Sus scrofa: one gene and its partners. The protein of the gene in region 1 purifies or fractionates together with the protein of each later gene. This does not show direct contact. Links are inferred from orthologs where the notes say so. Each region holds a gene or a part of one and is shown in the gene's direction. Other genes may lie near its edges. The genes, in order: RIOK1, CLNS1A, EFTUD2, COPRS and WDR77.

What was found.
Region 2: the proteins of RIOK1 (region 1) and CLNS1A purify together in Homo sapiens (affinity purification with mass spectrometry; 3 studies listed by BioGRID and IntAct, with this or other methods). This does not show direct contact. The link is inferred for Sus scrofa from reciprocal best matches to the Homo sapiens genes RIOK1 and CLNS1A.
Region 3: the proteins of RIOK1 (region 1) and EFTUD2 purify together in Homo sapiens (affinity purification with mass spectrometry; 3 studies listed by BioGRID). This does not show direct contact. The link is inferred for Sus scrofa from reciprocal best matches to the Homo sapiens genes RIOK1 and EFTUD2.
Region 4: the proteins of RIOK1 (region 1) and COPRS purify together in Homo sapiens (affinity purification with mass spectrometry; 3 studies listed by BioGRID and IntAct, with this or other methods). This does not show direct contact. The link is inferred for Sus scrofa from reciprocal best matches to the Homo sapiens genes RIOK1 and COPRS.
Region 5: the proteins of RIOK1 (region 1) and WDR77 purify together in Homo sapiens (affinity purification with mass spectrometry; 5 studies listed by BioGRID and IntAct, with this or other methods). This does not show direct contact. The link is inferred for Sus scrofa from reciprocal best matches to the Homo sapiens genes RIOK1 and WDR77.

The regions. Positions count from the first base shown.
Region 1 is NC_010449.5:4,752,893-4,758,451, forward strand, and holds part of RIOK1 (serine/threonine-protein kinase RIO1), read left to right. Parts: intron 1-2,103; coding exon 2,104-2,194; intron 2,195-3,319; coding exon 3,320-3,389; intron 3,390-5,237; coding exon 5,238-5,280; intron 5,281-5,559. UniProt on the Homo sapiens protein: Involved in the final steps of cytoplasmic maturation of the 40S ribosomal subunit. Involved in processing of 18S-E pre-rRNA to the mature 18S rRNA. Required for the recycling of NOB1 and PNO1 from the late 40S precursor.
Region 2 is NC_010451.4:12,110,091-12,116,127, reverse strand, and holds the start of CLNS1A (methylosome subunit pICln), read left to right. Parts: upstream 1-2,459; 5' UTR 2,460-2,552; coding exon 2,553-2,677; intron 2,678-6,037. UniProt on the Homo sapiens protein: Involved in both the assembly of spliceosomal snRNPs and the methylation of Sm proteins.
Region 3 is NC_010454.4:18,486,951-18,492,509, forward strand, and holds part of EFTUD2 (116 kDa U5 small nuclear ribonucleoprotein component), read left to right. Parts: intron 1-359; coding exon 360-435; intron 436-904; coding exon 905-970; intron 971-1,731; coding exon 1,732-1,767; intron 1,768-3,762; coding exon 3,763-3,853; intron 3,854-5,096; coding exon 5,097-5,179; intron 5,180-5,559. UniProt on the Homo sapiens protein: Required for pre-mRNA splicing as component of the spliceosome, including pre-catalytic, catalytic and post-catalytic spliceosomal complexes. Component of the U5 snRNP and the U4/U6-U5 tri-snRNP complex, a building block of the spliceosome.
Region 4 is NC_010454.4:43,088,900-43,094,969, forward strand, and holds the start of COPRS (coordinator of PRMT5 and differentiation stimulator), read left to right. Parts: upstream 1-2,281; 5' UTR 2,282-2,392; coding exon 2,393-2,491; intron 2,492-4,817; coding exon 4,818-4,884; intron 4,885-6,070. UniProt on the Homo sapiens protein: Histone-binding protein required for histone H4 methyltransferase activity of PRMT5.
Region 5 is NC_010446.5:108,909,071-108,914,080, forward strand, and holds part of WDR77 (methylosome protein 50), read left to right. Parts: intron 1-171; coding exon 172-221; intron 222-2,823; coding exon 2,824-2,894; intron 2,895-3,033; coding exon 3,034-3,088; intron 3,089-3,547; coding exon 3,548-3,619; intron 3,620-4,187; coding exon 4,188-4,296; intron 4,297-4,833; coding exon 4,834-4,902; intron 4,903-5,010. UniProt on the Homo sapiens protein: Non-catalytic component of the methylosome complex, composed of PRMT5, WDR77 and CLNS1A, which modifies specific arginines to dimethylarginines in several spliceosomal Sm proteins and histones.

The DNA.
Region 1 (5,559 bases):
TGCTTTACATCTCCGTGTTACTTACTTCTGTCTTCTTTTTGAAAAGGGCTTTTTGTGGTTCTGGAACTAACCGAAAGATTTTCATCCGGTTATATTGTCCTGTAGCAATATAGGTTTCTAGAACATGAAGATGTGGGACGGGCGGAAAAGCAAGAATGTTAAAAGAGCTGCTTTGTGGATTAGAATGCATACATTCTTGAAATAACCAAAAAAATTGCACACTTTCATGTGTTTCTTTTGTTTGTTTGTTTGTTTTGCTTTCTAGGGCTGCACCTGTGACATATGGAGGTTCCCAGACCAGGGATCAGATCACAGCTCCAGCTGCCAGCCTACACCACAGGCGCAGCCATGCCCAGTCTGAGCCTTGTCTGCAGCCTACACCGAAACTCCTGTAAAGGCTGGATCCTTAACCCACTGAGTTAGGCCAGGGATTGAACCCGCATCCTCGTGGATGCTAATGGAATTGGTTCCCTCTGCGCCACAGTGGGAGCTCCTCCACTGGTTCATTGCTGAGACCGAGCAGTTTCAGTGCGGAGTGGAATTGCTCATATTAAAGCGAGTGGGGGAAACACGTGCCCAAATGTTAACTGTTAATCTTTAGGTGCTACGCTTACAGGTAATTAAAATTTTACCTGTGGTTTCTACTGTGAACATGTATTATTGTAGTTTAAAATTTATTTTAGGACTTCCCATTGTGGCACAGTGGAAATGGATCTCACTAGTATCCATGGGGACACGGGTTCAATCCCTGGCCTTCATCTGGGGGTTAAGGATCTGGCGTTGCCGTGGGCAGTGGTGTAGGTTGTAATCGAGGCTCGGATCCCGAGTTGCTGCGGCTGTGGTGTAGGCCGGCAGCTGTAGCTCCCATTCTACTCATGTCCTGGGAACTTGCGTATGCTGTGTATGTGGCCCTAAAACGTAAAAAATAATAATAATGTTTCTTTTAAAAGTTATATTTAATAGGTAAAATTGTAAAGTTCTCTGCAAACAAGAAACAAGTCAGCCTCCAAGTTCATGCTCAGATAACAGGATGGAGTCAGGCATTGTGACAGGCCCTTTTATTTATTTATTTACTTTATTTTTTTATTTTTTATCTTTTTAGGGCAGCACCTGTGGCACATGGAGGCTCCCAGGCCAGGGGTCGAATCGGAGCTGCAGCTGCTGGTCTGTGCCACAACCACAGCCACACGAAGTAGGAGCAGCGTCTGCGACCTACACCGCAACTCACTGCAATGCCGGGTCTTTAACCCACTGAGCGAGGCCAGGGATTGAACCTGTGTCCTCATGGGTACCAGTGAGATTCGTTTCCAGCGAGCCACGGTGGGAACTCCTGTGACAGGCCTATTTAATCTCTGTTCCCTGGGCTGTGGATTCGGGTGGCGTCTCCCCTCTCTCCCCTTTCTGCTGTTGCATCAGTCTGCGCTGCACGGGTCTGAGTGCAGAGGCTCATGCCCTGTCTCTCCCTGTCTTGAGACACTGGGCCCAAAATGAAATTCCAGTTTAGTGTTGGTCTGAGCTCTTAATTATATACTTTGGGGGTAAACGAACCTTCCCAAATTTTCATCTGTAAGCCAATCCAATTAGAAAGATACATTTAATTTTGTTCTTTATTATAGTGAAGAATATATTGTAGGAGGCTAGAAACAAACACAAAAACACATTGTACAGACTCTTTATTTTTTTATTTTTGCCTTTTCTAGGGCCACACCTGCAGTACATGGAGGTTCCCAGGCTAGGAGTCCAATCGGAGGTGTAGCTGCTTGCCTATACCACAGCCATAGCAACACCAGATCCTTAACCCACTGAGCGAGGTCAGGGTTTGAACCCGAAACCTCATGGTTCCTAGTCCGATTCGTTAACCACTGAGCCACAACGGGAACTCCTGGGTTTTGTTTTGTTTTGTTTTTTCTTTCAGACTCTTCATTTTAGGCAATGACTTTGTCCTATTTCAGATGGCCTTTGTAAAATATTTCTTGGGCAAATTTGATTGATTTTTTTTACCTGAGGCTACTCTAAGTATTGGTGACTAAGGGACATGACGTGGTGAACTGCGGGCTTGTGTTTATAACAAGAGCTTTAGTCTCTGGGACTCATTTCTTCCAGCCAAATCGACAGACTCCCAACTGCAATTCAGCCAGAATGTCTACTCCAGCAGACAAAGTCTTACGGAAATTTGAGAACAAAATTAATCTAGGTAAGTGTATAAGATACGTTTCCTTGCTGGGCTATGAAGCAGTTCTTCAAAAACCACAAATGTGTTAGAAAATTTTATTAGATCAAGCAGTGGATATATTCAGTGTTACTAAGTAATGATGCTTAGAAAAAAATCAAAACTTAGTAATTTAAAAACATGGCTTCAAGGAAAGACTTTACATTTTTTTAGTTCTGTTTTTCTCTCCTTTTGTAGAGATATTAAGTTACAGATCGCATTCAAGTCATTGTCCGTTTTGTATTAGATTTTGTAATAAGATTATCTCGTGGTAGAATGTTGAAAATACTAAAAATTGGAACGTGATTACAGTTTGTTGTGTTAGAAATTTTTGTGTGGCATTAACTTTTTTGGGGGCTGGTGAATTTGGATTTGAATGGCTCTTGAAAAGGCGAGGTCCTCTCTCCCTGGTGACACTAACAGTTATGAGCCTGACACGGCGTCTCCTGGAACCTGTCATTTGCAATGAAACAGACATTTTAGGATAAACTTGGAATTCAGGCAGTTACGTTCTCTCTGTTAGTATAAAATATTAACTGATGTGTGAAATTCAACATGTGCAGGTAAGATGTTTTGAGGGATTTCTGGATCTAGATTTCTCTGGCTCAGAAATGACGGTTCTTGTGATAGAAGTGGTCATCCTTGTTAGAAGGAAGCACAATTACTGCCTGCCTTTCGAAACAGTAGACATCTTTAGTACTAAAATATATCCTCTAAGGAGTTCCTGTCGTGGCGCAGTGGTTAACAAATCCGACTAGGAACCAGGAGGTTGCAGGTTCGATCCCTGGCCCTGCTCAGTGGGTTAAGGATCCGGTGTTGCCGTGAGCTATGGTGTAGGTCACAGACGCGGCTCGGATCCCGCATTGCTGTGGCTCTGGCGTAGGCTGGTGGCTACAGCTCTGATTCGACCTCTAGCCTGGGAACCTCCGTGTGCCTCGGGAGCGGCCCTAGAAATGGCAAAAATAAATAAATAAATAAATAAATAAATAAAATATATCCTCTATGTATCGTAAGTAAAACACTTAGAAAATTGAGAAGGAAAAGTCCTATTCAGAAACTTTTTGTCTTACGTGTTATTTATACAGTGAATGTTTTTTTGGTATTTTTTAGATAAACTAAATGTTACTGATTCTGTCATAAACAAAGTCACCGAAAAGTCTAGACAAAAGGAAGCAGATATGTAAGTAATGTTTTCAGTGTATAAAATACAGATAAATAAAACAAAAGATGGCTGATAGGAACGAATTCTAGACAGATTACGTAGCATCTTGGTCATAATGCCTTTGCAAAGAATGTTTCTCTGTGTATCTGTCCTAATTCTTTTTTTTTTTTTTTTTTTTAAGTTTAAATGAGGGTATCCTATGCCTTTGTAGGTTGTAAATATTTTTGAGTTTTCCTAAGAAATTTGTACTAAAACTATAATCTTGTGAAATTTGCAGATGTGCTCTCAGAAAGGGAACAGTTTGTAGGTTTCAGTTTAAAATGGTAGCGTATAGGGAGCCTGTCGTGGCTCAGAGGTAACGAACCCAACTAGTATCCATGAGCACTGGGGTTCCATTCCTGACCTCGCTCAGTGGGTTAAGGATCCGGTGTTCCCGTGAGCTATCGTGTAGGTCGCAGGCACGACTTGGATCCCCCGTGGCTGTGGCTGTGGTGTAGGCTGGCAGCTGCAGCTCCCGTTTGACTCCTAGCCTGGGAACCTCCATATGCCACGGGTGCGGCCCTAGAAAAGACAAAAAAAAAAAAGCATTAATTCCCTTCCATGAAACATTTTTAAAAACTTAAGTGCAGATTTAGAACTAAGTAGTCACATGACAGAACAGTTTCCTTTTACAATTCTTTTCTCAAAGCCAAATGTTTAAGATCTGGCTAACCTATTGCAGATATTTCTAACGCGTTAGCAATATGTTATAGAAAGTAACTAAGATCATACAACTAGCACTGTTAAAACTTAACTTAAAAACCAGTTTTCTGGAGTTCCTATTGTGGCTCAGCTGGTTATGAACCCGACTAGTATCCATGAGGATGCAGGTTCAGTCCCTGGCCTTGCTCAGTGGGTTAAGGCTCCAGCATTGCTGCAGGCTTCAGTGTAGGTTGAAGATGTGGCTTGGATCCTGCATTGCCAGGACTGTGGTGTAGGCCTCACAGCTGTATGGCCCTAAAAAGAAAAATAAACAACAAAAAAAATAAAATCAGTTTACTTCCGTTTATTTTTTTTTCTTTTTCTTTCTTTCTTTTTTTTTTTTTTTTGCTTTTTTTAGTGGCTTTATTAGAGTTTTGTTTTGTATTGTTTTTGTCTTTTTTAGGGCCTCACCCATAGCCTGAGGTTCCCAGGCTAGGGGTCTAATCGGAGCTATAGCTGCCGGCCTGCACCACAGCCACAGCAACACCAGATCCGAACTGCATCTGTGACCTACACCACAGCTCAGGCAATTCCAGATCCTTAACCCACTGAGCAAGGCCAGGAATCGAACTCACAACCCCATGGTTCCTAGTCGGATTGTTTCTGCTGCGCCACGATGGGAAGTTCTACTTCTGGTTTATTGCTGTACCAAAGGGATACCAGTCTTTTGAGAAAAACCACTTGTTATCTCATTGGTGTGTCTGTTTGAATTTTTATTAGTGTATTTATTTATTTATTGTCTTTAATTCTGTCTAAAGTTTGTCTAAAGAAAGCAGTAATTCTGTACTAATAGAATCACTAAAGGACTCAGGACAGTATTTACACACCTGATGTTTTCTCTTTTCCAGCATAGTTCACGTTATCCCACTGTTGCACTCATTTAAACCTTGTGGATAGAATTTTTCCTTACTGCGGATAGGCTCCTTTTGCCCCAGGGAACGGAATTTCTTCTTACTAAGGGGAAATGAAGCTTCTCAGAGCGGCGAAACCGCCGTGATCTCATGAAGTGTGTTACCAAAGAACCTAGGTGCTTAGGGATTTCCTGGAATGATGTGCATTCAGAAACTTTTGATTTTGGCTTCCCTGAATTTTGAATGTCACCTATACTTTTTTGGTTCTGCTTAGGTATCGCATCAAAGACAAGGCGGACAGAGCAACCGTAGAACAGGTACAGTTTAAATATGTTGCAAGTTCTTGTTTTAAAGTAGTAGTTCTGGAGTTCCCATCGTGGCTCAGTGGGTTACACGCCTGACTGGTATCCATGAGGACCCAGGTTCGATCCCTGGCCTCGCTGAGTGGGTTCAGGATCCGGCGTTGCTGTGAGCTGTGGTGTAGGTCACAGATTCAGCTGAGATCGGATCCAGCGTTGCTGTGGCTGTGGCTGTGGTGTAGTCCGGTTGGACTACCTATTGGACCCCTAGCCCGGGGACCTCCATATGCTGCAGGT
Region 2 (6,037 bases), on another chromosome or scaffold:
TACTACTGGATTCTCAGTTCAACTCCACTGATTTATATGTTTATCCTTGTGCCAGAAGTACGCAATCTTGATTATTGTAGTTTTGTAATAAGTTTTTTTTTTTTTTTTAAGGGCTGCACCCATGGCATATGGAAATTCCCAGGCTAGGGGTTGAATCGGAACTACAGCTGCTGGCCTACACCACAGCCACAGCAACGCCGGATCCTTAGCCCACTGAGCGAGGTCAGGGATGGAACCCTCAACCTCATGGATACTAGTCGGATTCGTTTTTGCTGTGCCACAATGGGAACCCCTGTAATAAATTTTGAAATCAGGAAGTGAGTCCTCCAATTTGGCTCTTTTTTTTTTAAGTATTATTTTTACTTTTCTAGGTACCTTGAATTTTCATATGAATTTTAGCTTCAGCATGTCAATTTTTGTCAAAAAGATAATTGGAATTTTGATAGGGTTCATATTAATCTGCTAATCATTTGAGGGAATATTGACTTCTTGACAAGAGTAGTAAGTCTTTTTCTCTTTTTCTTTTCTTTTTTTTTTTCTTTTTTTTTTTTTTTTTTTTTTTGGCTGCACCTGCAGCATGGGAAGTTCCTGGGCCAGGTCCCGCAACTGTAGCAACACTGGATCCTTAATCCACTGTTCCAGGCCAGGAATCAAACCTGTGTCCCAGCACTCCAGAGATACCGCCAGTCCTGTTCCACCACAGTGGGAACTCCTGAAGTATGGTTTTGTGACAGTGGAAAGGAAAACTAACTCATGATAAGAGGCAAAGCTGAGTGTCAGTGCAGGGCAGTCGCTGGGCTCATTCATCACCTCACTGCCTATCTTAGCAAAATGTTACAGACTGAGGGATAATTTGTGGCAAGTTATGTATGAATGTCAAGGCTCTTCTGTACACAGCCCTTTCCAGACTGACCTGGCCTACTTTCCAGCCCCATCATGTGTAGTGGTTGAAAGGGTGTTGGCTGTGCTGCCCTACTGCTCAGGTTCTAAGTCACGCTCTGTCACTTAGTTACTATGGACCTTGGGCAATTCAACCTTCTTATGTGTTTTCTTTTAAAAAATTTTTTCTTTCATTTTAGGGCCACACTGGAGGCATATGGAAGTTCCCAGGGTAAGGGTTGAATCAGAGCTGCAATCGCTGACCTACACCATAGCCACAGCAACGCCAGATCCGAGCTGCATCTGTGACCTACAACGCAGCTCACAGCAATACCAGACCCTTAGCCCACTGAGGAAGGCCAGGGATTGAACTGCATCCTCATGGATACTAGTCAGGTTTGTTACTGCTTAGCCACAACAGGAACTCCTGTGCCATATTTTAGATTCCACATATAAGTGATATATGGTATTTGTCTTTCTCTATCTGACTTACTTTACTTAGTATGATAATCTCTAGTTGCACCCATGTTGGTGAAAATGGCATTATTTCATTCCTTTTTATGGCTGAGTGGTATTCCATTGTACATATTTACTGTATCTTCTTAATTCATTCATCTGTCAATGGCCATTTATGTTTTTCTCTTTTTTTCTTCAAGTTTTAGCTACTTTGAGTAGTGCTTCAATCAACACTGGGTGCATGTATCACTTTGAATCATTGTTTTGTCATGGTACATGCCCAGGAGTGGGATTACTGGATCATACCGTAATTCTATTTTTAGTTTTCTGAGGAACCTCAATACTGTTTTCCACAGCAGTTGCATTAACTTACATTCCTACCAACAGTGTAAGAGGGATCCCTTTTCTCCACACCCTCTAAGCATTTGTTATTTGTAGACTTTTTTTAGGTGTGGGTGGATACCTCATTGGAGTTTTTTCTTTGGGGGGGCGCTCTCCCGGCATATGTAAGTTCCAGGCTAGGGGTGGAATCCCAGCTGCTGCTGCCGGCCTACACCACAGCTCACGGCAACGCGGGATCCTTAACCCACTATGCGAGGCCAGGGACTGAATCTCGCTGTAGTTTTGATTTCCATATCCCTAATAGTTATAGACCCGGGGATACGTGGCTTATGCACTAGGGCAGTGTCAGGACCTAGACGAATACCTAGGGCATAACTCTTAAGTTGAGGCCTGCACAGGCTGAGATGACGCAAGCAGGCGCGGTGAAAAAGCGGAATCCAGTTAGGAGACCGTTGACCTGTAAATCAGTGTGGCCTCTACTTTCTATGCATCTTCAGGTATGGACTCCCTATCTCACGCCTCCGTCTCCCCTTTTGTAGAAAAAGGAATTTATTATTCCTGCGCCTCCTCTCTCCCAGGGTTACAGTGATGACCCTGACCTAGGATGCCGTTGAGAACGCTCTGTCATTCCAAGCTTGGGGCTTCAGAAAAAGGAGGGTGACGGGAAACGGCGTCACTGCGACACACCGGGGCCTCTCTGGCCTCCGAGATCTTGCCCTAGAACAGCTCGTCTCTATGGCAGACAGGGTTAAATTCCGGGGCGGCTAAGTAGCTCTTCCGGGGTCATCGCGGCCGTTTCCGGGGCGGGACGCCGCGAGCGGGGTTTGTGGTGCTTCGGCTCGCTGGCGGCCTGTGTCTGTGAGCTCCCTGCTGCAATGAGCTTCCTCAGGAGTTTCCCGCCGCCTGGGTCGGCTGAGGGGCTCCGGCAGCAGCAGCCAAATACGGAGGCTGTGCTGAACGGGAAGGGCTTGGGCACTGGCACCCTTTACATCGCGGAGAGGTAGGGTCCCTGTTCCCTAGTGCGGGCGGCCTGCGCGCCGCCTCCCCCGGGCGCCGGCCTTAGGGACGATCGGCGGCGAGACCACCGCCTCGGGGGCTGCGGGGCGGGCTGCTGAGAGGAAGACTCGATTGTTCCAGTGTCCTGTCCTCGGTGCCGCCTCTTCTCTCTTCCTCAGGCAGGGCTCTCCTCTTTAATTACGCTTTTCCCCCGCGGTCCGATAAGAGTGTGGCTCTCCCTCAAGGGTGTCGTTTTAAAATGTTGAGTTTCCAGGCCCTGAGTTAGAGTCATCCATGTGCCTGCCTCCTGCGAGGAGCAGGCGTGAGAGCTGTTGCCCTGGGCAGGCTTGTAGGTTTAGGGCAGACTGTGCAGGGTTTTGAGAGTTTGGGTAAGGCGTATAGGTTTCTTTCTGTAGGTGTGGGTGGGAAGAGGAACATCCTCCGTTTCAGGGAGGCTGGGTTATATCCAGAGGGACCTTGCTCTCATTGTCATTCCTGGAAGGAATCGCCTTTTTATTTGAGTACCCGGAACACTATGTACTTTCATTGTCACATAGATATGTCTTAAATATCGAGGTGGCAGAATAGAGGTACCTATTTCCAGGACATAGTTCATTCTTTTTTTTTTTTTTAGGGCCTCACCCAGGGCATATGGAAGTTCCCAGGCTAGGGGTCCAATTGGAGCTACAGCTGTCAGCCTACACCACAGCCACAGCAACGTGGGATCCAAGCCGGTGTCTGCGACCTACAGCGCAGCTCAAGGCAGCACCGGATCCCCCACCCACTGAGTGAAGCCAGGGATCAAACTCGCATCCTCATGGCTCCTAGTTGGATTCCTTTCCGCTGTGCCACAAAGGGAACTCCGGTTCATTCATCTTCAAGCCAACAATGGCACATTGTTTTCTCCCTGTCCTTCAAATCTCTCTGACGTTTGTTTCTGCTGTTTACAGCCAGGGAGAATTTTCTGGTTATAAGAGCTCACATGGGAGTTCCCCCTGGGACTCAGCAGTAACCCAAGATGAGTATCCATGAGGATGCCGGTTTGATCCCTCGCCCTGCTCAGTGGGTTAAGGACCTGGCCTTGCTGTGATCTTGGTGTAGGTCGCAGATGTGGCTCAGTTCTGGCATCGCTGTGCCTGTGGTGTAGGCGGCAGCCGCAGCTCTGATTGGGCCCCTAGCCTGGGAACTTTAATATGCCCTGGCTACGGCCCTAAAAAAGAAAAAGAGCTTACATGATTATATGGGACTCACACAGATGTGCCAGGATAACCTCCCTATTTTGTCTTCAGTTGATTAGTATCCTTAATTACATACACAAAGCCCCTTTTGCCATGTTACCTAATATATTCACAGAAGATATGAAAGTCATGGGGGCCAAAACCTCCTGCCATAGAGGGCACAAAAAATGTAAAGAATGCTTGGTTTAGAGGGAAATCTAGTCATTGAGCAAACTTAGGAGTTTGACTAGTCACTGAGATAGGAAATGTGGATGGGAAGGAAAGCAAGTTTGGGGTAAGGAGCAGTTCATGAGTTTAGTCTGGATATGTGTGAATTAGTTGCACATATGAAGGGGTTTCTTGGGAGAGTGGTACTAAAGATGGGTAGACAAGAAGGCCAAGGATGGAAACCTGGAGACACAGCTACACCAAGAGATGATGGAAGAAGAGACTTAAGGGGGAGGAGCAGTCAAATAAAATCACATCTGAGAAGCACCTGTTGGGTATTGACAAAGACATCTTTAGTGATCTTGGGGGAGCAGTTTCTTTTAAGGGGTGGAAAGTGGAACACAGATACAGTCCTAGCCCTACAGAATCCCTTTTTCTCCATGGCTTCTCTGTGTATTGGCTCTTCTGTAGTATAACTCCTGTTTTGGAAAGGTTTTATACTTGTTTTTTCTTTTGGAAAAATTTCAGACCTAAAAAATGTTGCAGGTGTTGTTAATACCCATAGCCCCTTCACCAAGGATTCATCAGTTGCTGACATTTTGCCACATTTATCTCTTTTTTCTGATTTTTTTGGAGTTTCAGACACGTTGTCACTTCACCTATAAATACATGAACAAAAATCTCCTTAGAATAAGGGTATTCTTTTGTATAATAACTACAGTACAGTTATCACACTGAGGAATTACAAACTCCTTTTAAGCTCTTATCAATTAAAAAAAATTTGTTTCCAGAGCTCCTGCTGTGGCCTAGCAGGTTAAGGATCTGGCGTTGTCTCTGCAAAGGTGCCCTTTCAATCCCCGCCTGCTGCAGTGGGTTAAGGATCTGGATTCGATCCCAGGCCTGGGAACTTCCATATGCCATGGGCGCGGTGGAAAAAGAAAATTGTTTTTCTTTATTCAGCTTTCCATTAGCAAATCTTTTGCTTCTTTAATAAAATATTTTTGTAAAATATACATACGGAAAAGAATATAAATTAATGTGTGGTTTAAGGAATTATAATTAAACTAATATAACACTGCATAACACCGCCAGGTTAAGGATAGAGTATTACCAGCCCCTTGGACACTTTTGTTCACCCCTCTTTACTCAGTGCTAGCTTACCTCTGTGGTCTCTTGCCCCCTTTTGTTTTTTCCCACCTTGATTTTCCAAATCCTGATAGAATCAAGGTCTCAACAAACTGGGAAGGGTTCCTAGAGGGTGTGACAGATGAGGAATAAGAGTGAGATAGGGCTGAAAAGAAATGTTCCAATTAGAAGAAACAAGATGCTCAGAGGCTAGGGTGAGAAACAGTATTGTGTGCCAGGATATAAGTGTGTAACACATGCACACTCGCAGCCCCACACTTCTTCATCCAAGGGTCCAAGGGAGAAAGAGTGAAATACAGTAAAACTAGAGAAGAGAGCCTTGTCATGAGCTTGGTTTGAGGGACGGTATTTTAGGATTTTAGGCAAAGAGAGGCAGGGTTTGATTTAGTTTTAGGTAGTTTCTCAAATTACTTTAGGGCTTATTGTCAAAGCTTAATTTTCATAGGAAGTTGACTTCTCCAAATAAGAAAGGGAACAGAGTCATGAATCATTCACAACAGAGCATTTGATTCAGATGGAATTGGAGTTCCTGTCGCAGCTCAGCAGTAACGAACCTGGCTGGTGTCCATGAGGACGTGGGTTCAGTCCCTGACCCTGCTCAGTGGGTTAAGCCTCCACCATTGCTGTGAGCTGTGGTGTAGCTTGCAGTCACGGCTTGGCTCCCGCGTTGCCAATTCAACCCAGAGCCTGGGAACCTCCATATGCTGTGGGTGCAGCCCTAAAAAAAAAAAAAAGAAACAGGTGAAATAAAATAATTAAAATAGGTAACCTATAAACAATGCATTTTCAAATGTCTTATTACAAAATTAATTTTTCAACAAATAATTAAGCCA
Region 3 (5,559 bases), on another chromosome or scaffold:
AACACCAGATCCTTAGCCCACTGAGCGAGGCCAGGGATTGAACCTGCAGTCTCATGGTTCCTAGTCGGATTTGTTTCCACTGCGCCACAACAGGAACTCACCCTTACTTGCTTTTTAAATGTCATTATTTTCCTATTGAAAGCTCCATGACATTTCAAGATTATGTCACCTCACAAATGAGTCTGTTCCATTCCCAAAGCCTGAACTGTGTAGGGGTAGAAATTCATGTCTGCCTTGGAACATTCTCCAGTTGGGCTGAAAATTGTTCCTGGCCAAAAATACCTAGAACATCTCTGCACCGCTCCTTTGTTTGAAAACCGTTGCCAGAGTCCCTTTTCTCTCTTCCTTTCTCCTTTCAGTTTCTTGGCAGATCTGATGGATAACTCGGAGCTCATCAGAAACGTGACGCTCTGTGGCCATCTCCACCATGGCAAGGTGAGGGAACTTGGAACAGGGTTGCTCTTTGTTTCTGCTGAGTGTTTCAGCCTAAGAGTCACTAATTGGGGTCTGAGGCCATAAGGCTGGACCTCCTGACTCTGCAGGGCCTCCCTGGAGCCTATTGTGAAACCGAGCCGTGAAATCCCAGCTTTTCCTGAGCAGCAGATGGAAAGCTAAGCCACTTGCATGCCTGAGCCTTGTGTCTACATCTGGACAGCAGAGGGGAAATTGGGCCTTACTTTATTTTATAAGTTTTCATTTCCTGGAGGACGCTTGCCCAAGAAAGATTTCATCTTTCATTTGAAAATAATCCCGTGGCTTCTTTATTTCTTTGTTGTCCCATAATCTCCCCTGCTCTCCTCCTCCTCTCCTTATCCCTGAATTGTGTGGTGTATTGGTAACTGGGGGAGGGTGGAGTCGATTTTCCTCTGTGGCCAGCAGAACATAACTTTCTTTTCCCTTGCAGACGTGTTTTGTAGATTGTTTAATAGAGCAGACTCACCCGGAAATCAGAAAGCGCTATGACCAAGATGTAAGTAGAAATTCTGTGGAGGGTTTGGGATGAACCATTCAGAACACAGGGGGGTGTCTCTCCTTCTCCTTCCTTCTAACCTCCCACTCTCATTATAAGTAATGATGCCTATAATATGCTGCTTCATAATTGTAATTTCTATTAATAGCCCTTAAGAAAATAATTTCCATTTTCTCAGGAACATAGAGAATATTAACCTGCAGTATTTTTGGATGATCTGTTCTGCACTTGAGATCCCTCCTGTGTTCTGATATATCCTGACTTTTATAGCCTATTCTTTCCTGTCATAGTATTAATAGCCTACTCTATAAATATAATACAGTTGGACCTTGTTGTTTCCATGATAAATTTAAATGCCTGTGAATGAGGCCCAGTGTGGCTGCAAGTCTCAGTGCAATAACTGTTCAGTCTCCGCCAGATTGACTGTTTTGATGTGCGGGTGTTCCGTGAAGGCTAGAGGTGTCTTCCTTTACCACTGTGCAGAATTCAATGCATTTGATGTGATTTAGCTCTCCAGCCACCTCGGTCCTTAGTGACTTCCCTGACTCCCCCCATAAAACCATCCAGGAGCATTTTCCACCTGGGAGGGCCCTAGTCTCATTGAACTCTCTGTAGCGCACCCTCTTGCCTTCCATCTGTTCTCCTCCTGAGCCAGAGGCCCCCAGGTTAGGAGTGGGTGAGGGGAATGATTGATGGTTTGTGGGTGGCAAGAATCTGAATTCAGGTGGTAACTACATTTTTTTTTTTTTTTCTTTTTTCAGCTGTGTTACACAGACATCCTCTTCACAGAGCAAGAGGTAAGTGTGCCTTTGGGAATCTGATTGTTGCCACACCAGACCCAGCAGTGGTGGTTTTGTAGGGAAAGTTTTTATGATAACGTTTTGGCCCATACAGCACCCGTCCCCCATAACTCCCATCCCTCAACCTCTTTATCTCCCTGCTTCGTCCCATGATCTCTAACTTGAAAGAGAGCTGGGTAGGCAAACTGTAGGATAAAAGGAGAGACCCTCCTGTCCTTACCTGGATTTAATTTAGCCTAATGGGGCAGATGCCAAGAGGTGGTGTGTACATTTATCTGTAAGTTATACAGAAGCCAAACATGATTTTTAAAATGACATCATCCTTAAAATCTATAGGATGACTCCATCCATATGTCGCTCTTCCTAGGGGCAGCTTCCCTTAGAGAAGAGGTTCATCTCTCTTTGTTCTTCTCTTTCTCTGTAAAGGAGTGCACGTATATCTCTGTCTTTTCCATTCCATCTGGTTAGTCTTTCCATCTAGAGGGGATCTTTATCCCTCCCCTCTAACACCTTCTGTTTCCTCTTCTCCTTTTTTTTTTTTTTTTTTTTTTGTGTGTGTGTGTGTGTGTGTGTGTCTTTTTAGGGCTGCTTCCATGGCATATAGAGGGTCCCAGGCTAGGGGTTGAATTGGAACTGTAGCCACTGGCCTACACCACAGCCACAGCAACACAGGATCCGAGCTGCGTCTGCGACCTACACCAGAGCTCACGGCAGCCCTAGAGCCTTAACCCCCTGAGTAAGACCAGGGATCAAACCTGTGTCCTCACAGATGCTAGTCAGATTTGTTTCTGCTGAGCCACAATGGGAACTCCCCTCCTTTATTTCTGTCTCTCTTAAATGACCACATGGAAAGCACAAATGTATAAGTTTGACTAACCAAAGGAACTCTAAACGGTGCTGGCATATGATAAGCAATCAACAAATATTAGCTATTTAAAAAATATATGTGTGTATATATTTGACTGGAGTTGGGCTTTTTTTTGTTGGGTTTTAGCTGTGCCTGTGGCATGTAGAAGTTCCCAGGCCAGGGATTGAACCCACACCACAGCAGTGACATAAGCCATAGCAGTGACAATGCCAGATCCTTTAACCCACTGTGACGGGCTGGGGAATTGAACTTGCCCCTCCACTGCTGCAATCAGATTCTTAAGCCACTGTACCACAGCAGCAACTCCTACTATAACTTTCGCTATATTTAAAAAAAAAAAAGGAGTTCCTGTTGCGGCGCAGTGGTTAACAAATCCGACTAGGAACCATGAGATTGCAGGTTCGATCCCTGCCCTTGTGCAGTGGGGTAATGATCCGGCATTGCCGTGAGTTGTGGTGTAGGTCGCAGACGTGGCTCGGATCCTGCATTGCTGTGGCTCTGGCATAGGCTGGCGGCTACAGCTCCGATTCAACCCCTACCTAGCCTGGGAACCTCCATATGCCGAGGGAGCAGCCCAAGAAATGGCAAAAAGACCAAAAAAAAAAACCCAAAAAACAAAAAAAAACCTAGGAATTCCCTCATGGCCTAGCAGGTTAAGGATCAGTGCTATTACAGCTCTGGCTTGGGTTTGATCTCTTGTGTGGTCTGGGAACTTCCACATGCCACAGGCACAGCCAAAAAAAAAGGAACCTAAAATAACCCAGATAGTTTCTTTTGATTTATATGATGTTTAATTATTTTTATTTATAGTGTACGAGGAAGATAAGATTTTAGGACTGTGGATTCTCCTATTATGGTTTACCACTGCTTTGCTTGCTTGTTCTTTTATTTTTACTTTTTTGTATTTGAACCAACTCTCCCCCATCCTGGGAAATGCTGTTAAGACCAAGATAGTTTGTCTTCAAGGTCATTCTGATTAGAGGACTAGGTTACAAAATCACACACACTACAAGGAGAGACAGTGGTGTAACTTACTAGCAACTGGGAAGCCCCCAAAGCAGAGTAAACCCCTCCTGCATAGGATGAGCTCTTGATCATCCTGTCTCTCTCTCTGTGACTTTCAGAGGGGTGTTGGCATCAAAAGTACTCCTGTGACAGTGGTCTTGCCAGATACCAAAGGAAAATCCTATCTCTTCAATATCATGGACACTCCAGGTAGGATGTTCCTGACCTTTTACTGTCAAAACCTTGACTTATTTTTTTCTTGTGCTCCTACTATTTCTAGAACAGAAAAGAGCATTATGTCTTTCTTTTTACATTCTGTTCATTAAGATGATAATTTTCATTTTTAACGGTTTCCTTTGCTTCTAACCAGTTAATTAGCAAGCACTGTGCTCCAGGTCTTCTGTCTTATTCCTCTCTTGACTCTGCTCTAGACTATTTAAATTTGGGGGAATCTTATTCATATATTAGTTTCAGCCTGTCAGTCACTGTGCTAGACATTGGGGTGACAAAGATGAGTCAGACATGGTCCCAGCCTCAGGCCATCTCAGTCTTTTGATGGAGACCACGGGTACTTACCAGTGGCTGGGGATGTACAGGTTGCCATGGAGCAGCATATCTTGTCCCTTGGTTGCCTTTTTCTCTTGATTCATTTTTATTTTTTGCTTTTTAGGGCCACACCCATGGCATATGGAGGTTCCCAGGCTAGGGGGCCACAGCAGTGCAGGATCTGAGCCTCATCTGTGACCTACACCACAACTCACCGCAATGCCAGATCCCCAACCCACTGAGTGAGGCCAGGGGTCAAACCCGCATCCTCATGGGTACAAGCAGGTTCTTTCTGCTGCGCCACAATGGGAATTCTGGAAAATCTGGGTTTTGGCAGATTGGCCTTTTGCCCCATCAGGTGCCCTATGCCCTCCTACTTCTTAGCCCCTGACCCCCACCCATACCCAGCAGCAGCACTTTGCCAGGAACCAGCTCCATGCTAAAGCCCTTCCTTTGCCTTTTTTTCTGCCTCCAGATTGTCTTCTGTCCCACAGAATTCGACTCACTGATGGTTAGACTAAGCTAGGGTGTGAGTGGAATGCATTATGCCCTGCTTGGTAAAACATTTCCTCCTTTTTATGTTTGGGGGCCTCCTGTATAAAAGCACAATCCAAGGATGGGACACTAACGTGGAAATTTTTTTTGGCTATGCCCATGGCATCCAGAAATTCCTGGGCCAAGGATTGAACACAAGCCACAGCAGTGACAATGCCAGATCCTTAACCCACTAGGCCACCAGGGAACTCCTAATGTGGAATTTTATACACTGCAGGGAGCTGTGGGGAGAAGGGAACGGGGCTCTTTGTGGGTTCACATGCTTTGCAGTGCCCTGCAGACCACATACAAGTTGATTGTGCCTCAGCCTGTATCCACACAAGTGGCAACTTACCTGGTATTTGCTTTTCAGGGCATGTGAATTTTTCTGATGAAGTCACAGCTGGCTTGCGCATCTCAGATGGAGTGGTCCTGTTCATTGATGCTGCCGAGGGCGTGAGTCTGCTTCTGTCCTTTGGGACCCCTCTCTCCCTGTTATATTTGCCCTACACACTGCCCAGAGCTCTGAGTGAGCTGAGCCAGGAGCCAGAGAACGTGAGCGTCTCTGAGATTGAGGCTCATACTTGCTTTAAAATTAGGGCAGCAAATAAAGGTGTAAATCAGTTCTCAGTGAGTCCCTCACCCCCTGCCCAGAGAAGCTCAAGATGATAGGACTCGTTGTCATTTAAGAAACACAGGAGGAGTTCCTGTCGTGGTGCAATGGTTAACAAATCCGACTAGAAGCCATGAGGTTGCAGGTTTGATCCCTGGCCTGCTCAGTGGGTTAAGGATCCAGCGTTGCCGTGAGCTGTGGTATAAGTCACAGACGTGGCTCA
Region 4 (6,070 bases), on another chromosome or scaffold:
TATCTCCTTTAACATGATGTCATTGGGCGAAGTATTACTTAATGTTGTGTTTCACTTAATATTATGTTTTTTTCCCCCATATCATTAAATAACCTTAAAAATTTTTAGTGAATTTATAACATTCCATTGTATAGATGAGCCATGACTTATTTTACTGATCTCTTATGGTTGGATCTTGTCATTTCTAATTTTTCTTAGAAATGCTGTTGGTGAAGATTCTTATCAATCTTTGTTCATATCCCTGGTTATTGCCTTAGAAGACTAACATCTGAAAATAGAATTACTGTATTAAAGGATTTAACTATTTTAAAGAACATGGATATGTACTGTCACTTTGCTTTGTATGAAAATACTTTGGAGCACTGTGTGAAAAGTCAACACCCTTACCTGCTGTTGATATTATATTTCTTATATTTCCCATTTTAATAGATGTAAAGGGGTGTAGGTCATTGTTTTATTGTGTATTTCTTTGATATTAGTGTAGTTACTGTGTTTTTTTCTGGTACTCTTTTCATGTTTGACTATTTTTTGAATTTTTTTAAACTAATTTATAAAGAATTTTTTATGTATGAGGAATGCTAATCTTAAGTTTGTCTCTTTATTACTAATGATGTGTCCCCAGCTTTTTTTTTTCTTCTTCTAGTGTTTTTTTGAGGTCCAGAGGTTTTCTATGTGTGGGGTCTGATTTTTATTGTTGAAAACCCTACCTCTTGATGAGGACGACTCTTTTTTTTTTCCCCAAGCAGTGAACTAAATTTTCCACAATACCATTTGTGGCCATTTTTCTCTGACTGATTTATAATACCTTTATTATATTTCTATGAATATTAGAGTCATTTTAGGGCATTTTCATTAGGACCTTTTGTACTCTCTATGGTGTTTGTATGTCATTTATATTAAAATGAGAAAAATTTCCTCTTTCTCTTCTCCAGTAAGTCTTAGGAAGGTCAACATTTTAAATCCTTAAAGGGCTTTTTTATTTTAGGAAAGAGATACTTGTCACATTTCAGACATGAGAGTGAAGAGCAGGGTGGTTGACTCCTTAAAGCAAGGCTTGTGAGGGTGGGTCACCCTGCGGTCACACAACCCTCTACCTGATTCTCACCATTGCAGGTTATGGAAGTGCATCTAGCTAGTTCACCTAGAGCTGCACTGTTAGATGGGGTAGCTTCTCCCCACGTGTGGGAACTTAAATTTATTGAAATTAGATAATTCAGATTTTCATTTACTCTGGCCACATATTTACCATGCTAGACAGCACAGATAATAGAACTTTTATTTCTACCATGGCATATGGTTCTGTTGGACACTGTTGACCTAGATTCAGTTAGATTTGGGGAAACTAACTCATGAGTTGGAGCAGAACACACATTAATTGGTCACATTCTCTCCCCTGTGGGAAAGTCGACATATGATTTGTTAGGCTAAAATGTTCAAATGCTTTATATAGTGTATAAACAGCACATTCTTGAGGGAAATGAAGGAATAGGCCCTCTAATGTCTCAGATTGTGGTAAGGTGGCCTGGTGAGCAAGGAGTCCCACCTTCCAGCTTTTCTGCTTCTTAAGGGTTAACATGACTATCCCACCTTGAGCAGATATGTTATTGGAGTTTAGGCAGGGAAGGTGTATCCCCTGCTCAGGCGCTGCCTGTCAGAATTCTGCTGCCCTCAGGTTGTAGAGGGCCAGACTTGGAGCATTAAAAGAGAGAAGCCCAGGTGAGACCATACCAGCACAGTACAGAAGGTTTAGGGTTACTGTGACCAAGTATCAGCCTATAAGGATGTCTGCATGTTGTAGGAGTTTGTTTTGATCATCTATTCCTAGGTTTCTAACGGGTTTGAGAAGTCACTAACTCAAGGTGGAGGATAACTGGGTTGCTGAGTTGTCTCATCCATTTGTGAGTTATAGTCTAATTTCAGCCTAAGCTCCAGAGAAACCTATTTAGAGACAAGAGTGAGATGCGGTTGGAGCTTCAACTGTGTGAAGTTTTGAGAGCTGAGTTTTATACATCATCATGTAGACGCCTAACAGGAAATCGAGGTTTTGAAGCAGAAGCATATCCAGTGTGGTTGCGTAGGGATAACACTTGGCATTCCAGACCCAACTAGTCATCCAGCCCTGGGGTCCGCACCTGGTCAGGACGTTCCAAAATCCTACTCCAGAGCGGGTACGTGAGCAGGAGGCCTTTGCAGTCGGGCTCGCCCCGCCCCCTTGCTCCGCCCCGCCCCGCCCCGCCCCCGGCTTCCTCGTGACCCCCGCGCCCCGCCCCCCGTCCGGGAGCACCCCCGGCTGATTGGCCCTCCGCGGCGTATCCTTGGGCTGGCTGCCAGGCTGGTGCGTCACGTGGCTGAGCAGCGAGCGTCTCGGGCTCAGAGCCGCTGGCCGCCGGGCATGGACCCTCTCACCGCTGGGGCCCAAGCGTTGGGGGCCGCGGAGCCGCCGCGGGGCCGGCCGCAGCTGAGCGCGCGGGAGGCGTCCCCCGCCCCGGGGGTGAGCGCGGCGCGGGGCCTGGGCGCGGTCACCACCTGCGGCCGGGGGCGGGAAGTTGCGGGGCTCATGGGGCGGGCCGGGTGGGGGGCCGCGGAGCCGGGGAAGCGCCTCGGGCCTCCCTGCGAACGGGGAGCGCCGTTTGGGCACGCGCCCGAGCTGGAAACGGCCGGGTCGCGGGGCGGCGGAGCAGGGTACCTCGTGGTCGTGGGTGGGCGCGCCGGGCGGAGAGGTCTAGCTGGCGGCCCACGAGCGCCTCGGCGTCCTTGCTAAATGGGCGGTGATGCTGCTGACCGAGAGCTGGGCCTGGGCTGGGGCCAGGTGAAGGCAGCGAGTAGAGCGATCTTCTCTGGCGGATCCATGTCCCTTCGTGGCGATGCTCAGCTAACCCTGAGCACCAGATGATGTCTGCTGCGCTCTCTCCTCTAACCTTTACTGAAAGCAAAAGGCCGCGTTTGACGCAGGGTTTCCAGAAACTTGTTTTCATTTGCGCGCCGGACCACCATTAACAGTCATGTCCTGCCCCGTTTACAGTCAATAATCCCTATTAGACATGAGCTCGTTGAGGTAGGAACCCTCTAGTGCTGGTTAACCAGGTGACCAGCATAGTGCCTGACACCACAGACACGCATATTAATTGGATGGAGGAATAGAATGCTTGTTTAGGCATCACAGAAAGTACTTAACCAAAGAAAGATATAAAAAATGTAGTGATGGGTTTAGAAAGAAAATTACTTTGGGGGTGCAGGTAGGATGAGACTGGTTTTGTCAGGGCAGAGCAGGAAGGTTTGTGCGCTTCCTCTCTAGGGTCGGGGGGATGCTTGTTCCTGGCAAAGGTCTGGAGGTGAGGAAGTGCAGGGCGAATGGCCGGGAGCTTTGGTCCCAGAGCTGGGCGAGAGAACTATCTCCGTAGGTTGATGGGGCTGGAGGCCATGGAGAAGTTTGTGGTCCCACAGTGGAGGCCTTCGGAGCAGAGTATTGATTAGCGCTGTCAGGCTGGGCAAGATGGGTGAGTGAAGCCAGTTAGGGGGCTCTTGCAGTGGAAGAAGTGAGAGGTCCCACTCCTGGCCAGCAGTAGTGACCAGGAGTTGTCACTTAACCATAGGAGGTGGAATTAACTCATTAAATCCAGGCAGATGATGAGCTAATTGGGACAGGTGCCAAGTGCAGTGTAGCTTTAGGAGCAAAGAAGGTGAATTAAAATTCAACAGATGGGAGTTCCTGTTGTGGTGCAGCGGAAACAAATCCGATTAGCATCCATGAGGATGCAGGTTCCATGCCTGGCCTCGCCCAGTGGGTCGGCAATCTGGCGTTGCCATGAGCTGTGGTTTTGGTCGCAGATGTGGCTCAGATCCCGAATTGCTGTGGCTGTGGCGTAGGCCAGCAGCTGTAGCTCTGATTCGACCTCCAGCCTGAGAACGTCCACATGCCACAAGTGCGGCCCTAAAAAGACACACAGCAACAGATGTTATATTCTTGCCGTGTGCTAGGTGTTTTCATGAGTGTTATCTCAGTATAAGCCTCCCACAAAGTCAGAACAGGCATCCCCCGTGTCCTGACAAACTCAGGCATGGTAGCTGAAGTGCTGTGTCCAGGGTACACACTGAATGAATGGGCTTGTAATCAGGTCTTCTCATGCAGGCTGTGAGTATTTCACTTAGAAAGAGGTCTTACAGGTGATGGGGTTTCAGGAACTTTTGAGTGATGGGAGCAGAAAAGCACATGGTTGGCTATGAGGGAAGATTTCCCTTCATCGCCTAAAAAAGCTCTCTTGTCCCCATGGATCCATCAGGAGACAGCATTTGATAAAAAGAGCTGTTCCCTAGATAAAAGTCGGTTTGTAACTGAAAAGGTAAGGAGGAGCTTGCTGCTGTAGGAAACCAAACCAAGCCCTGGGGCTCAGGGAACAAAAGAGGTGAGGTTGGAATGATTACAGGGGAGAGGCTTTGCAGCCCGCTGAAATTCCAGCCTCAGAAGAGGGGGCACTGCCCTGGCTAGTGCTGGGGTCTCTGAGCTTGGCGTCGGGGTCCTGAGGACCTGTGACTCCGAGCACTCAGGAGAGGGCTGGGCAGGAGGCTGGCTCTGCGCGTGCTGGATGCAGGCAGCTAGGAAGGCAGGCGATTCTGCCGGCCCGTCCCTACAGGAGTAGGAAGGAGCCGGGCCCTTCTTCCTCGGGCTTGGCCCAGCCTGACACGGCAAAGCAGAAACGTGGGTTGCAGAGTCCCCACCCCAGCCTCCCGAAGTGCGCTATGGAAGGGTGGAAGTGGGGCTGAAATCCTGGCTCTCCGCAGGCCTCCAAGGCCCGGGTAATTGTTTCTTCTTCCCGCAGGCTGCCTTTGTGCTGGCTGACCACTCTGGTCAGGAGAGAGAGACTGAGAAGGCCATGGATCGACTAGGCAAGTAGCTGGCGGAGCCTGGGGGGAGGTGGGTGTTGGGAAAGACCGAGGAAGTGACAGAGAAGGAAGGTCGGTCCCCGGCTTGGTTAGGTACCTCCTCTTTGTAGCCAGCCCTCCTCTTCCCCAGCCGGTTGCCTTTTCTGCCTAGTGTTTCAGGCGTCTTCTCGTTTGGAAGCCCCCCCCCTCCCCCTGCAAGAGAGTCTTGGGCCTGGGTCCAGATCCACCCCTTCTGCCGAGGAAGACAGCCCAGGGCAGCGGAAAGTGTGCAGGCTTTGCAGGCGGCTGAAATTGTTTCCCTTTCAGCTCTGGGACTGGGTCCTGGGCTTTAGTTTTGTGGCTTTATATTTTTTATCCTTTTTCTATCTTTAAAATGGGGATAATAATACTTCCTTAGAGGGTTGTCTGAGGATGGGGTGATAGGATGTAGAACTGAAATCCCCACTCCAAATAGCTGTTTAATTATAACGAAATAAAGTGGAAAATTCACTTCCTTGGTCACATGGGCCACATTTCAAATGCTCAGTAGTCAGACACGGCCATGGCTAGCCTTTCGGACAGCACAGATTGTAGTAAGTATGTTATCGTCATCACAGAAAGTTCTCTTGGCCAGTGCTGGTCTGGATAAAGCACCAAGCACATAAATAGGGGTAGTCCTAGCAGCTAACACTTCACTGAGTACTCACTGTGTGCCATGTACAGTTCTAAGTGGGTTTTTTTTTTTTTTTTCCTTTAAAAACCCTGACAATGGCTCTATCTGCCTGTGATAGATGAGGAAACCGAGCTACAGAGCAAAAACCTTAAAGATTGTGGAAGAAGACACATAACATGAACCATTTGAAAGTGTACAATTCAGTGGCATTTGGCCCAATCACAATATTGGGCCAGTCACCACCACTGTTTAGTTTCAGAACATTCTCCTGGCCCCCAGAGGAAACGCTGTATCTAAGAAGCAGTCACCCCCTACACTCCCCTTCTTGAGCCCCTGGCTACCACAGATCTGCTTTCTGTCTCTGTGGATTTACCTGTTCCGTATAGGCACATATGAGTTGCTTATAAATGGAGTTACATGATATATATATGTATATTTCCCCCCCCCTTTTTTACAGTCTCACTCATGGCATATGGAGGTTCCCAAACTAGGGGTCGAATCAGAGCTACTACTGCCGGCCTCTGCTGCAGCCACAGC
Region 5 (5,010 bases), on another chromosome or scaffold:
GGAGGCGAAGACATAGGATGTGTCAGTTAAGTGAAGTTCCCGAGAGCTGCAGTCAGGTCCTTAACCAGTTGCACCACAGCAGGAACTCCCTCGAAGTTCTTATTTGAATGCAATTTTTTAATGTAGGTGGTGTAGGTCAAAATTAAGTCTCTGATTCCTTTTGCTTCTTAGCATCAAGGTTTGGGACCTTGCTCAGCAGATGGTTCTGAATTCATACCGAGGTGAGTGCATGTTCTTTCCTTTTCAGTCCTGGCCTTGGCCGTTTTGTTTTTATTCTTCCCTTTGTGCTTTTTGAACGTTGCTTGGATGTTAATAAATCAATTCTTTGCTTTCCTGCCTGGTAGTTTTCTTCCAAAATGGTGGTCAGGCCCCACTGTTGATCCTTGCCCCTTAATTTCTCTATTTTTATTGACAGCCTCACCACCTTCTTGGCCACCAGTGGCTCAAACTCCCAGTCCTCTCCTACTCCTCCTGTTTCCCACTATCAGTTGGTCCCCAGGTCCTTTGGAGTGTTTTTTTCATTTGGTCCATGACCTTTTCCATTTCTTATGCCCCCTTTTACTTACAGGCTTCACACAGACAGTGGCATTTATCTCATCTCTCTACCTGTAATCTTTGGTCTTTCATTGATTTCTTGCGACTTACAGATTACAATCCTATGTTTATGTCATGGTGTTCGGGCTTTTTTTCACTGTGACTCTCCTTCAAGCATACCATGCTAGCTAAACCCAGTCACAGTAGATCTTTGACATTCCCCAAGCATAAACTCTGATGCTTGTGAATCTTGAACTTTTGAATATTCACCTCCATAAAATCTCTCTTTCTCTCTCTCTTTTTTTTTTTTTTTTTTTTTTTTGGTGAGAACCATCCCTTATGTTTCTTTTTCTGCTCACCTTAATGAATAGCACTGGCAGTTGATTTTATTTTGAGAGCCATCTTCATGAAGATACCAAATCTTTTTTTTTTTTTTTTGGTCTTTTTAGGGTCACACCCACAGCGTATGGAAGTTCCCAGGCTCAGGGTCGAATCATCAGCAACGCCAGATCCGAGCTGCATCTGTGACCTACGCTGTGGCTTGAAGCAATGCCGGATCTTTAACCCACTGAGCGAGGCCAGGGGTTGAACCCGCTTCTTCCTGGTTACTAGTCAGGTTCACTGCTGCTGAGTCATGACAGGAATTCCTACTGAAGATAGTATCTAGAGCATTAATGTGTGTGTGGCTAAGTGATGTAGATGGGGTGATTGATCACTGGTTCCCTCAATGGCTAAGTGCCTTTCTTTGCCAGTTCTCACTGCTAAGTGCATGATTCAGATATGTTGGGAGCAAAATCACAAACTCATCCGTCTCTTGGAGCTTCAGAGCATATATTTAGACAATAATGTTCGAATGTCAGTGCTCAAAGTCTGACATACTTACTTTGTGTTTTCTAGATGTACAGCGTGTTTTCCTGGTCAGTGCTAAGGAACTTTTTCATTGCCTGCCACCTTTAGCCTTTTTCTTTAGTTCTTTGTGTTTGTTCTTACTCTCTTGCGCTGATTCCAAATCCCTCCAGGGCAGAGGAACCACATATCTTTTCATCTTTGTACTTTCCCATTGCGTTTGTCCCAAAACTTTGCTGTTTTTAAGGAGCAGTATGTTGCTTTTCATCATGTTGCTTTTGCATGGATTCTCTGGAGGATGGTTTGAGGCCCCCCTCTTCCGTACCTGGGCGGAACCACATTCAGACTATCTCAGAAAGTCTGGTTAGTTGCTTTAGAGAAGGTGGTTTCCACAGCCTTTAATTAACACTTAGCATTGACCTTGAACATTTTTAGCCTGTAGCCCTAAGGGAGTCTTGAAAAACTGTACCCTTTCACATGTTTTTAAAGTGGTTTCTAGTTTAAATTGAGCTCATCGCAAAGAAAGTTGTATCTAGCCGTGCCATTTACGGTACACTTTTTCAAAATATGTTTGTCAGAATTTTGGATTTTCAGATTAAGCTCATTTGATTTATGTAAAAAATCTACCAAATAACCTAACTGCCAAAAACCAACTGTGTGTTAAAGTTGGCCAAGTGAGACTTGAGCACTTTTCTTGAAAAATCTGACACTTCGTTTTTAAATTCGTATGGACCTGTTAGGTGTCTTTATGTGACCACATGCCATATTTTTCAAAATTCTCATTATTAAACAGAAGAGATAAGCCACAGAACCACTCTAGGATTTGTGATGGGGATGAGAAAGGCCAGCTTCCCCCACCGAATTTTACCCAGATGCCCTTTCTTTTTTGGTCAGCTCTTCGGGCAAGCCCCTTTTGTTTTCTACCTTAGGTTTCTAGACTCCTGAGCATCGTAGCATGGTGGGCTTGGGGCGGGTGAGAGGTGCGTGTTTCCTTCGCACGGTGGGAGACGGGTGACTGAGGGCAGAGGTGAGCAGTGCTGGCAGCCTCTACATAGTGTCTCAGTTCAATGTGGAGAGAGAGCCTTGGAGCCATTCCCTCTAAACTCTCGGTGTCCAGAGCTCCCTCAGAAGTCTTCGTATGCGCCTGGAGGCACATAGGCCTCTGCTCTTCCACGGTCCTTGCTGTAAGTTCCCCTACTGTTTTTACCCAGCCTTTAATTTATCTTTCATGTCTGTAGTGATTCATTTTTCCCGAAGCCTTTTGAGGTTTTATAATGCTATCAACATTTCCTCTTAGGTTTTGTCTTATCCCAAACGCTCACGGAATTTGTTACATGGCATCACACGACTAGGCTTGTTTCTCACAGCCTCCCTCCTACCCCTTGATAGTGTCTGGACTGCCTCCATTTCTCCGTCGTATTTCTTGTTCTCTCTCCTCTGCAGCTCACTCTGGGCAGGTCACCTGTGTTGCTGCCTCTCCCCACAAAGACTCCGTGTTTCTCTCCTGCAGTGAGGTGAGCTAAAGCCTCTTTTCCCCTTCCCGCCCCCTAAGCGCACCCAGACCCTGTGGACCTCAGTCAGGTGTGGAGGGCTTCCGGCGAGCGGCTGCTTCCTTGGATCGTGAAGCCCTTTTTCTGTCCCTTTTTCTTCTAGGACAATAGAATTTTACTTTGGGATACTCGCTGTCCCAAGCCAGCGTCACAGATAGGTGAGTCTGAGAGCCGGTGGTGGGAGAGTGAACAAGGACCGAGTTCTCCCAGGAGCCCACCTGGAAGAGGCTTTCCTGGGCCAGAGTCAAGGGCGAAGGCGGCCCAGTCACTGACCCAATGGCATAATTGCTCTCCTACCCACTGCAGCTCTGTTGAGCCAGTTGATGCCGTGGGTCCCACAAGGAAGGGCTGGTTCCTAGGTGGGCGATGTACCTTATGTTGCCTGGATGAGGGAACGAAGGGGCCAGAGTTGTTCTCTTCCTGCTTTATCATTGAAACTTGCCCGTGACTCATGTCTGGCAGGGGCAGGAGGCTGATGGGGAGGTGCAGGTTGTGAGGGTCAAGGAGGAGAACAGACGGCCCTGGCAGGACTCACGATACCGAATAGGGTGCCGCCGGGATTTAGAGTGACTTCACCCGAGCAGCTTTGTCTCAGACCCTTCTTCTCCCCTTTGCAGGCTACAGGGCCTCTGGCTACCTGCCTACCTCGCTGGCTTGGCATCCTCAGCGGAGTGAAGTCTTTGTCTTTGGTAAGGCAGCGTGTGAAACTGTGGGACGACTCTGGGAAGGGGAGGATGAGCGAGAGAGCCCTGGCTGCCCACTCTGCCCACTTGGGCACTAGATGAGTTGTGCTCATGGGGGCGGGGAGGCGGAATGATCCGAAAGTGGTTTTGGTTTAGCTTTGGAGAACACGATGATTTTTTTCTTAGTAGATTTGACTCCTGATTGTCTGCTGTGGCTCTTGTGTTCTGGCATAGCTGGAAGTCAGGGGCCACAAAGCGAGTGGATTGTTACAGGGGGATTCTGTTGTGTGGAGGGGGTGGTGGTGCTGACGTGCCGACGTGGCTGTGCCTGTAGGTGCATAGTTTGTAGGAACCTAACAACTATGTCATCGAATAACCTAATAACTATAATTAACCCTGTTAATTTAATTTTCACAACCCCTAGATGACTAATCATTTCTACTTTACCAAAGAGGAAATTGATGCTTAGAGTGGTGAACTTGTCCAAGATTGAGGAACGAGCATCCAAATCCAGGCCTGGCTGAGTCCAAAGCCCATGCTCTTACCTCTGTGATGTCCCCCCTCTTTCCTTCAGGCGATGAGAATGGGACCGTCTCCCTTGTGGACACCAAGAGTGCAAGCTGTGCCCTCAGCGCAACTGTGCACTCCCAGAGTGTCACCGGGCTGGTGTTCTCTCCACACAGGTACTGTTCTTTGTCGTCGAGGGCCTGGCGGGTGTAAATGGGAACAGTGAGGGGAGATGCCTGTGTCGGCGGAGCACTGGCCGACTGGGTAGTTCCTTAAAGCAGGCACTGTTGTAGCTGAGCTTTCGGAATCTCAGTGAGGGGGCTCTTAACACTGCAGTCCTTTTGGGGGTTGTATGGTCTCTGACTGCAAATGGCTGAAATTCGGTGTTGTTCCTGCTCAACACCCACAGTGACTAATATTGTGGGCTTCTAGGGCTGTGTGGTTGGAAGTTGTTTCTGGGTTATTGATGAAGCTGTGGGGAGGGACCCAGTGAGAAGGTTAGTTGCTGGGATGCTTCTCAGCCCTGGCTTTGCTCCCTTTTCCTCATCTGTCTTTGAAACGTATACTGTAGACTTAGGTGTAGCCAGACCTTAGCCTTAAGTGGGGTTAGGCCAGCTGCTCCGATCACTTTAGAGTCGGGGTCTGGGGGCCAGTGAGGTTTTGCATTGGGGCCTGTGGGCTTTACCTCCCCCCGCCACCCCCTTGTCTCCTAGCACTCCCTTCCTGGCTTCTGTGAGTGAAGACTGCTCCCTCGCCGTGCTGGACTCGGGCCTCTCCAAGGTGTAAGTGTGACGTGGAATCCTGTGATCGGGAAGCAGGGCGGGGAGCAGCCGCTGGCTGGGTCCTTTTTCTCTTTGGAAAAGTGTATTGTCTCTTTCCACGGGACCGGG